Oryctolagus cuniculus: one gene and its partners. The protein of the gene in region 1 interacts with the protein of each later gene in a biochemical or structural test. Links are inferred from orthologs where the notes say so. Each region holds a gene or a part of one and is shown in the gene's direction. Other genes may lie near its edges.

What was found.
Region 2: the proteins of OXSR1 (region 1) and WNK4 are reported together in a solved structure, tested with the Homo sapiens proteins (2 studies listed by BioGRID and IntAct, with this or other methods). The link is inferred for Oryctolagus cuniculus from reciprocal best matches to the Homo sapiens genes OXSR1 and WNK4.
Region 3: of the proteins of OXSR1 (region 1) and WNK1, one has a biochemical effect on the other in vitro, tested with the Homo sapiens proteins (2 studies listed by BioGRID and IntAct, with this or other methods). The link is inferred for Oryctolagus cuniculus from reciprocal best matches to the Homo sapiens genes OXSR1 and WNK1.

What each region holds. Positions count from the first base shown.
Region 1 is NC_091435.1:174,433,305-174,436,804, reverse strand, and holds part of OXSR1 (serine/threonine-protein kinase OSR1), read left to right. Parts: intron 1-2,605; coding exon 2,606-2,739; intron 2,740-3,500. UniProt on the Homo sapiens protein: Effector serine/threonine-protein kinase component of the WNK-SPAK/OSR1 kinase cascade, which is involved in various processes, such as ion transport, response to hypertonic stress and blood pressure.
Region 2 is NC_091448.1:20,117,047-20,119,894, reverse strand, and holds the end of WNK4 (serine/threonine-protein kinase WNK4), read left to right. Parts: intron 1-90; coding exon 91-698; intron 699-775; coding exon 776-836; intron 837-938; coding exon 939-1,335; intron 1,336-1,421; coding exon 1,422-1,621; intron 1,622-1,770; coding exon 1,771-1,985; 3' UTR 1,986-2,348; downstream 2,349-2,848. UniProt on the Homo sapiens protein: Serine/threonine-protein kinase component of the WNK4-SPAK/OSR1 kinase cascade, which acts as a key regulator of ion transport in the distal nephron and blood pressure.
Region 3 is NC_091440.1:98,701,308-98,704,807, forward strand, and holds part of WNK1 (serine/threonine-protein kinase WNK1), read left to right. Parts: coding exon 1-82; intron 83-1,299; coding exon 1,300-1,462; intron 1,463-2,344; coding exon 2,345-2,461; intron 2,462-2,795; coding exon 2,796-2,969; intron 2,970-3,173; coding exon 3,174-3,231; intron 3,232-3,500. UniProt on the Homo sapiens protein: Serine/threonine-protein kinase component of the WNK1-SPAK/OSR1 kinase cascade, which acts as a key regulator of blood pressure and regulatory volume increase by promoting ion influx.

The sequences.
Region 1 (3,500 bases):
CCAGGAGCCAGGAGCTTCCTCCAGGTCTCCCACGTGGCTGCAGGGCCCCAAGGACTTGGCCGTCTTCTGCTGCTTTCCCAGGCCACAGCAGAGCGGGATGGGAAGTGGTGCAGCCGGGACTCAAACTGGTGCCCGTATGGGATGCCAGCGCTGCAGGCAGTGGCTTTACCCAGGATACCACAGTGCTGGCCCCTGTACTACGTTTTAAAGTTCCAGTCCTCCAGCTGTGTTCTTTTCAAGATTGTTGTAACTGTTTGGGTCCTTTGACATTCCATTTAGATTTTAGGATAAGCTTTTCTGTTGCTATTAAAAATGTCACTGGGGTTTCGGTACAGTTTGCTTGGAATCTGTAGACTGCTTTGGACGGTATTGACATTGTAATGATGTTGTCTTCGAATCTGTAAATATAGTGTATATTTGTATTTGTTTTTGTCATCTTTAATTTCTTTCATGAATATTTTGTAGTTTTCAGTGTACAAGTACTTTAGTTAATTCCTGAATTTTTTATTGTTTTTGATGTTAACATAAGTGGAATTGTTTTTCTAAATCCTTTTCAGGTTCTTCATTGTTAATGTAAAGAAATGCAAGTGTTTTTTTTTTTTTTTTTTTTTAAAGATTTTTTTTTATCTGAAAGTTAGAGTTACATGAGAAGGAGAGGCAGAGAGAAAGGTGGGGGGGGAGGTCTTTCTTCCATTGGTTAACTCCCCAGTTGGCGGCAACAGCCGGAGCTGCACTGATCGGAATCCAGGATCCAGGAACCAGGAGCCAGCAGCTTCCTCAGGGTCTCCCACGTGGGTGCAGGGGCCCAAGGACTTGGGCCATCCTCCACTGCTTTCCCAGGCCACAGCAGAGAGCTGCATTGGGAGTAGAGCAGCGATGACTTGAACCGGCACCCACATGGGATGCTGGCACTGCAGGCGGTGGCTTTACCCACTGTGCCATAGTGCCGGCCCCACAAGTGACTTTTGTGTTAACTTTCTATCCTGCTTTTTGATGAATATATTTGTTTTCATAGTTTTTTTTTTTTTAGAGGTTCATTTGAAATGCAGAGTGACAGATTAGAATAAAAGCTTTCAGTATTTCACCACTAAGTATAATGTTTGCTGTGAGATTTTCTTATATGCCTTTTATTAAGTTGAGGTAGTTACTTTATATTCTTAGTTTGTGGAGTGATTTTTTTTTAAATCATGAAAGGGTTCTGGAAGTAGAGGTCAGACTGTGAGACAGGACTCCATCCCAGGAGGGTCAGTGTGGGCTGTGGCTGTCCCAAGGATCTGCTTAGCTCCACTGAGCCCCAAAAGCCACCCCAGCATAACAGCGCCGAAGGACACACACCACCACATCCTGCTGCACACACGTGAGCTCCTGGCCTCGTGTCTCTGCACCAGGCTGTCATGCTGCCCAGAAGCTCAGAGAGGGAAGACTTAGGGTGCACAGGGGAGTCAAGAGTGTCACCCGCTGCAGAGCACAGCAAGATCGTGGACCTGCGGTCTGCGGCTTTGTTTACCAGGACTTCTTTGTGATTTTTGTTTTTAAAGATTTATTCATTGATTTGAAAGGCAGAATTAGAGGGAGGGGCAGAGAGCGCGAGAGCGCGAATTATCTTCCGGTTACTGGCTCACTCAGCAAACGTTGCGCTGGCCAGGGCTGGCCCAGGCTGTGGCCAGGAGTTAAGGTGCAGGGCCCGAGGACTTGGGCCATCTTCCGCTGCCTTCCCAGGCCACAGCAGGGAGCTGGATCGGAAGTGGAGCAGCCAGGACTGAAACCGGCGCCCCTGTGGGATGCCCGTGTGATGGATGGCAGCTTAACCTGCTGTACCGCAGCGCCGGCCCGGTGATTTCTGTTAGGGGTCCTGAATAATAGGAAAAGAAGACCATCTCACAGACGCGGAGTGAAAACAGGGCCCTGACAGGCACGATCGGCGGGCTCGTGCTCCTAGTCTTGCTCTGGTTTTAGTGTGTTTTTAGGTGATTTGGTAGAATAGGAATTTATTGAGGATACAAAGAAAGAATCCAACTCAAGGACATTAGCAGTGTTGATACAGTGGGCCCCTACAGCTAGTGGGGGGGCGGTGCTTTGGCAGTAGCCGGTAAAGCTGGCACCTACAGTGCTGGCGTCCCATATGGGCTGCTCCACTTCTGATCCCGCTCTCTGCTGTGGCCTGGGAAGGCAGTAGAAGATGGCCCAAGTCCTTGGGCCCCTGCACCCATGTGGGACACCCGGAGGAAGTGCCTGGCTCCTGACTTCGGGTCGGCGCAGCTCCAGCCATTGCAGCTAATTGGGGAATGAACAAGCAGGTGGAAGACTTCTATCTCTCTCTCTCTGCCTCTCCTTCTCTCTGTGTAACTCTGACTTTCAAATAAATAAATCTTAAAAAAAAAAAAAAAAGGTGGTCTGGGACGCCAGTTATCTGTAATATTTTATTTATATAGGAAGACACATAAATAACTCTGGATTTAAATGACTCACCTAGATGTGAACTTTTAGAAAATCGGATCTGCTTGTCTGTGGTGGTGATCGCCTGTTTTGAAAACTCTTGTCCACAGTTGTTAATTAAACTTTATTGAGTCGCTGGAACTTTATACTGTATTGTAAATTCTTACAGGTTTTAATGCTGACGCTGCAGAATGATCCTCCGTCTTTGGAAACTGGTGTTCAAGATAAAGAAATGCTGAAAAAATATGGAAAATCATTTAGAAAAATGATTTCATTGTGCCTTCAAAAAGATCCGGAAAAGAGGTAAAGTATGAGATAAACTTGACTTTGTTTTGTGTCTGACATGGTGAGCCAGTGGGGGAAGTCCAAGAATCACATGCTGGTAAGCATGGAGAATTTTTGGTGCTTATTCAGAAGAAATGAGTACAGACTTCAAAAAAGAAAGCGTGCAGAAGCCCCTGCCCAGGCCAGGCTGGGGATGAGTGGACGGTTGCTGTCTTCTTAGTGCACAGTATGTCCTGACAGGACAGCTGTCTCCTGGCTAATTTCTTATGATTATTAAATTTGTACTGTGAATTCTGTCCAGCTGGATTGATAGACTAGTAGAGAGGTTTCTTTCCAATTTGCATGTAAAATGCATGAACAAATAGATCTAAATGTTAACATTTACAGTGTTAATAGCAAAAGAAATACATATAGCAAACTTACATTCAGTGTCTAGCAGTTGTACATATTTTCATGTTAGGAAGCTGTTTTAGTAGGAAGACCAAAACTTGAAATAACTTATTTGTCAATACTAGACAGATTGAATGGCAAGGGAGCAAATGAGTAAGAAGAATATCAAAGTGTGTAACTTTATGAATTAAGCAGTCACAGAACGCTGGAGATCAGCGACTTTTGTCTTTGAGGTCACACACATCCTAGTCACGACTTGGAACTTGAATGCCACATCCTGGTTCCTGCGTTAGGACTCTTCCCATCTTAACTTCTGGGTTCACACACACGGTCCCCCCCTGTCTGCGGGTTCTGCATCCACCACTCTGCTAGCTGCAGGTCGAAAGTGT
Region 2 (2,848 bases), on another chromosome or scaffold:
CCCTGCTCAGCCCAGCCCCTGGGGTGCTCCTGGGAAGGGCGTGGGGCCTGGGAACTAACTGGAATCTCAACACGCCCTCCTCCTCCGCAGAGCCCCCGAGTGGCACCTCCCCGGAGCAGAGGAGCTGGGCAGCCTTCTCCACCTTCCCAGCCCCTGACACCCCCTTGTCTCCTGGCACCCCCTTGTCTCCTGGCACCCCCATTTTCCCAGGTCCCATCTTCCCCATTACTTCTGCCCTCTGCCAGCCCGGCCTCTCCCTGTTCTCCCCCATCGCCTCTCAGGTCTCCCCGAGCCCCGCTCCACAGCCCCCCAGCTCTCCACTCCCGTTTTCCTCCAGTGCGCCCCTGTTTCCCACCCCATCCTCCCCACTTCCCCAGAGCTCCCTCCCACCTGGTGCTGCACTCCCATTCTCTCCCAGTGGCTCCCAAGTCACTTCTAATCCTGATTCCTTCCCTCCCAGCCCCTCCCCGCCTCCCCTGGCCCCCCCTACTGCCGCCCCCCTCCTCTCTCTGGCAAGTGCCTTCTCCCTGGCTGTGATGACTGTGGCCCAGTCTCTGCTGTCCCCCTCACCCAGCCTCCTGTCCCAGTCTCCCTCTGCCCTGCCGTGTCCCTTACCTAGTCTGCCCTCTGCCCCTCCTTCTCTCCCCCCTGCTCCTCATGGCCAGGAGGGCCCTGCAGAGGCAGAGGCAGAGAGTGAGGTGAGTAGGGACACGGGGGCGGGTGAGGGAGGCTCCATTCTGGACCGCTTCCTTCCTCACGGCCCCGCACTGTTCAGGCCTGCCCAAATCCTGCTCGGCCACTCCTGGGTGAAGCGAGACTGGCGCCCATCTCGGAAGGTGAGACCTCGCCAACCACGGACTTGCCCCTGCCCATCATCCCCACCCCACTCTGTGTCGCCACTGACTGCTCTCCCTCCCTCCCGCCCTGTCTACCTGCAGAGGCAAAACCCCAGCTTGTCGGGCGCTTCCAAGTGACTTCCTCCAAAGAACCAGCTGAGCCGCAACCCACCCCCCCAGCTCTCTCCAGTCCTCTGCAGCTTCCGACCCCCCAGCTGACCTCAGAGAGCTCCGACACGGAGGACAGTGCTGCAGGCGGGCCAGAGACCAGGGAGGCGCTGGCAGAGAGCGACCGCGCCACCGAGGGCCTGGGGGCTGGAGCTGAGGAAGGGGACCTTGGGAAGGAACCCCGAGTTGGTGGTAGCCCCCCAGCCCTGAGCTACGCCAGCCCGGTGTGGATGAACTGCTCCTACAGCAGCCTGTGTCCGAGCAGCGAGGAGTCGGAGAGCAGCGGGGAGGACGAGGAGTTCTGGGCCGAGCTGCAGAGTCTCCGGCAGAAGTGAGTCTCTCCCGGGAGGATGGAGGCGCGACCTTGGGCAAGCAGGGTGTGGCCAGCCCTCTCATGCCCCCTTGCTGCGTCCTCAGGCACTTGGCCGAGGTGGAGGCACTACAGACGGTACAGAAAAAGGAGATTGAGGACTTGTACAGCCGGCTCGGGAAGCAGCCCCCGCCGGGCATCGTGGCTCCGGCCGCCATGCTGTCCAGCCGCCAGCGCCGCCTGTCCAAGGGCAGCTTCCCCACCTCCCGCCGCAACAGCCTGCAGCGCTCCGAGCCCCTGGGCCCTGGTGAGACGGCGGCCGCCCAGCTTCCACCTTTCTCCTGAGACTCCTTCCCTGCGGCTCGCTCTTCGTTCAGGCCCTGGGGGTCTGCCCCTGGTTGGGGGGACTAGCCCCCTCCCTCACGCAGTGCTCTCCCTCCCCCGCCCTGCCCTCAGGCATCTTGCGGAGGAACTCTCTGAGTGGCAGCAGCACCGGCTCCCAGGAGCAGCGGGCAAGCAAGGGGGTGACATTCGCCGGGGCTGTCGATGTTGGCAGTGGCAGGCTGGTGAGGGCGGGCCCGAGGGAGGGAGCCCAGGGCACAGCGCCTGGCTGCGGCGTCGCCCCTCCCAGCCTGAGGTCTCCTCAGCGGCCTCTCTTTTCCCTCCAGTGAATTCAGTGCAGAAGCCAGGTGTCCCCCCACTCCAGGGCCCACCATGGGGCTTGTGCTCTCAGAATCTGATGCTTTTCTGATCAACACAACTCAGCAAGGAGGACCCCAGCGCTGAGGGGGTAGAAGCAGGGGGCATGGAGGAGGCAGCTCCATTACAGCGAAGAGCCAAGCATGGGGAGACTGCTGGCTGTGTGTGGGGTGCCACTGCTGCAGCCCACCCTCCCTCCCCAGCCAAGGGTCAACCACTAAGCAAGCCCACCCCAGCCCAGCCGCTTGTAGAGGGCCCGCTCCCAGCTGGGAGCGTACTAGAGGCGTGCGCACACCACAGTCAGCAGCAGCCAATAAAAGCGCTGGAAACAAGGACTGCGACTCTCCGTGCCTTAGGAGCTGGCGGACAAAGCCTTGTGGGGTGAGGCCAGGGGAGGATTCAGAAGGGCCTCTCCCAGTGGGAGGCAGGGGTGCCAGCTGCCTGGCTTTGTGGCTTCCTGTCACCAGGGCAGAGGACGCAGCAAGGTCAGTGACCCGCCTGAGTGGACATCCTCTCCAGATCCTACCTGGACACGCAGGTACCCGCGAAAAAAAGAATGGAGGCTGCTGTCCCCTACCCCTCATCCACCCCTCTCTCGGGGTGGCAAAAGGCAGTGACGCTAAAGTGTGTTCTCGTGGGCAGGGGACGGAAGACTGACCCCTCAGGTCCTGGTTCAGTCTCCAACAGCCTAGTGATCGCTCCCTGGAATCAGGTAGAAAGATCTCACAGAAAAAGTAACTGTAGTTAAACATTTACAGCTCCCTGGGGCACTGCCACTGCCCAGCCACGGCCTGGGCAGCTTCCAGCACCTCTCATCCCCCACACACTCGATGGG
Region 3 (3,500 bases), on another chromosome or scaffold:
CTCAGGTTGCTCCTCCAGAACCAGTTCCAGTAGCACAGCCACAACCTCCCCAGCCTCCCACATTGGTTTCCTCTATAGACAGGTATGTAAAACTAAAAACTCCTTCCTCAACCGGTAGGTAGAATAGTATGAAACTTCAAAATATCAGACTTTTGAGGTATGCATTGTGGTACAGCAGGTTAGGCCACCAGTTGGTACATCCGCATCCCATATTGGTGCGCCTGCAATCAAGTCCCATGTCTCTGCTTCTGATTGGCTTCCTGCTAATACACCTGGAAGTTAACAGATAGGGATTCAGGTTGTGAATCCCTGCCACCCACCTGGGAGACACAGGTGGAGTTCCTGGCTCTTGGCTTCAGCCTGACCTGGCAGCAGATCGCAGGCATTTGGTGGGTGATACAGCAAATGGAAGTTGTCTCTTTCTTTTTTCTCTAGCTCTCGTTCTTTCAAATACATAAAAATGAATAGGGACTGACATTGTCATGTAGCAAGTTAAGCTGCCACCTTCGCTGGCATTCCATTATGGGCACAGGCTGTTTGAAGTTCCAGCTGCTCCACTTCTTTTTTTTTTTTTTTTTTTTTTTTTTTTTTTTTTTTGACAGTCAGGGTGGACAGTTGAGAGAGAGATACAGAGAGAAAGGTCTTCCTCCTTTTTGCCGTTGGTTCACCCTCCAATGGCCGCCGCAGCCGGTGCACCACGCTGATCCGATGGCAGGAGCCAGGTGCTTTTCCTGGTCTCCCATGGGGTGCAGGGCCCAAGCACCTGGGCCATCCTCCACTGCACTCCCTGGCCACAGCAGAGAGCTGGCCTGGAAGAGGGGCAACCGGGACAGAATCCGGCGCCCCGACCGGGAGTAGAACCCGGTGTGCCGGCGCCGCTAGGCGGAGGATTAGCCTAGTGAGCCGCGGCGCCGGCCTGCTGCTCCACTTCTATTCCAGCTCCTTGCTACTAATGCTCCTGAGAAAGGAGTGGAATATAGCTGAAGTGTTTAAGTCCCTGTACCCATGTGAAAGACCCAGATGGAGTTCCAGGTTCCTGGCTTTAGCCTGGTTCAGCCCTGGCTGTTACAGCCATTGGAGGAGTGAACCAGCAACGAAGGAGCTTTCTCTCTCTCTCTCTCTCTCTCTCTCTCTCTCTCTGTCTCTGTCTCTGTCTCTCTGTCTCTCTCTCTCACTCTGTGTGTGTGTGTGTGTGTAACTGCCTTTCAAATAAATAAATCTTTTAAAAATTTAAATATATATATATAAATATCAGATTTTAAATCTTATATTGAAATTAAAAGCTTTTTTTTTTTTAAGTGCACATTCAGATGTTGCTTCAGGGATGAGTGATGGCAATGAGAATGTCCCAACCTCCAGTGGAAGGCATGAAGGGAGAACTACAAAACGACATTATCGAAAATCTGTGAGAAGTCGATCTCGTCATGAAAAGACTTCACGCCCAAAATTGAGAATTTTGAATGTAAGTATTGCTGATTCATGGACTTCATATTGTTAAACAAATTTTGCCAGCCTGGCGCTGTGGCACAGCAGGTTAACACCCTGGCCTGAAGTGCTGGCATCCCCTATGGACGCTGGTTCGAGACCCAGCTGTTCCACTTCCTGCCCAGCTCTCTGCTGTGGCCTGGGAAAGCAGTAGAAGATAGTCCAAGTCCTTGGGCCCATGCACCCGCGTGGGAGACCCAGAGGAAATTCTTGGCTCCTGGCTTTGGATCGGCACAGCTCCAGCCATTGCAGCCAATTGCGGAATGAACCATTGGGTAGAAGACCTCTCTCTCTCTCTCTCTCTCTCTCTGTCTCTGCCTCTCCTCTCCCTGTGTAACTCTTTCAAGTAAAATAAATAAATCTTTAAAAAAAAAAGGAATTTGGCACTAAGTGGAATTTTAGAGGTCACAGTGATGGTTCAGGTAATTGGGTTCCTACCACCCACATAGGAGGCCTGGATTGAGTACCTAGCTCCTAGCATTGGTCCTTCAGCTGTTGTGGGCATTTGAAGAGAGCCAGTAGACAGGTTCGTTCGTTCTCTCTCTCTCTCTCTCTTTTGTCCTCTCTCTCTGCCTCTCAAACAAACAAAAATCTAAAAAGAAAATGGGTAAAGAGTTTTAACTTGTAGGAAAGAAATCTTTATATTCCTTCCATAGTCTTTAGGGAGTAGCTCAAAGTCCAATACCATTTCAGATTTTTCTAGTTACCAGTTGAAGAGACAAAAGTACTGTGGTCCAAGGAACAGTGATAACACCATGCTTCCTGAGGCTTAAATTCAACTGCTAATCTGGATGACTTTTCTCAAATTTGGTAATAAACCTGAATATGGTTTTGAGATGAAGTTCCTTTCCCTTTTTAGGTTTCAAATAAAGGAGATCGAGTAGTAGAATGTCAGTTAGAGACTCATAATCGGAAAATGGTTACCTTCAAATTTGACCTAGATGGTGACAACCCTGAGGAGATAGCAACAATTATGGTATGTCTGTATTTGTGTTCCAAATTTTTCTTTTGTACTTCATCTTAATATCCATTGCTCTGCGCAAATAGGCAGTGTCTTATAATCTGTGTTTATCTTGTCAGTCGTATATTTATTCCAATGTAAATGTAACTAACATACCCAACTTGTGGTTTAGAAATATTTTGTCTAGGACATGTCTAACTAGGTACTGAAGTTCTTAAACAGGGAAGAGCTAACACTAAGTAAATAATAAAATTGATATGTAAATAGAAGTTTTTGAAAGTTGTATTTAAATGATTTAAACCTTAAGAAATGTCACACTAATCAGACTGACATCACATTTCTTTCACAGGTGAACAATGACTTTATTTTAGCAATAGAGAGGGAGTCATTTGTGGATCAAGTGCGAGAAATTATTGAAAAAGCTGATGAAATGCTCAGTGAGGATGTCAGTGTGGAACCAGAGGGTGACCAGGGATTGGAGAGTCTTCAAGGAAAGGATGACTATGGCTTTTCAGGTTCTCAGGTAGGTTTTCCATTCCATAGTGAAGCTTTGTTAATTTAAAATATTCTCATAGCACTGTATTTGCATGCATATTTATATATCAAATAATATCATATTATGCCTATGACTAAGAGCATTTATGTTCTCTTCACATGTGGCAGTTGGCTTTGTCTAATTGTTGAGATGGTTTTTGAGAATGAATGTCATCACTTTTGTTTGTTGTAGAAATTGGAAGGAGAGTTCAAACAACCAATTCCTGTATCTTCCATGCCGCAACAAATAGGTGAATTTCTCTTCTTGTCTATTTTTACCTTTTACTTGAGTAGTTATTTGTGCCAATAATGAAATTCTTGAAGCTTCATGTTGGTAATGATATATATAATAATACTGCAGCCGGCGCCGCGGCTCACTAGGCTAATCCTCCGCCTAGCGGCGCCGGCACACCGGGTTCTAGTCCCGGTCGGGGCGCCGGATTCTGTCCCGGTTGCCCCTCTTCCAGGCCAGCCCTCTGCTGTGGCCAGGGAGTGCAGTGGAGGATGGCCCAGGTGCTTG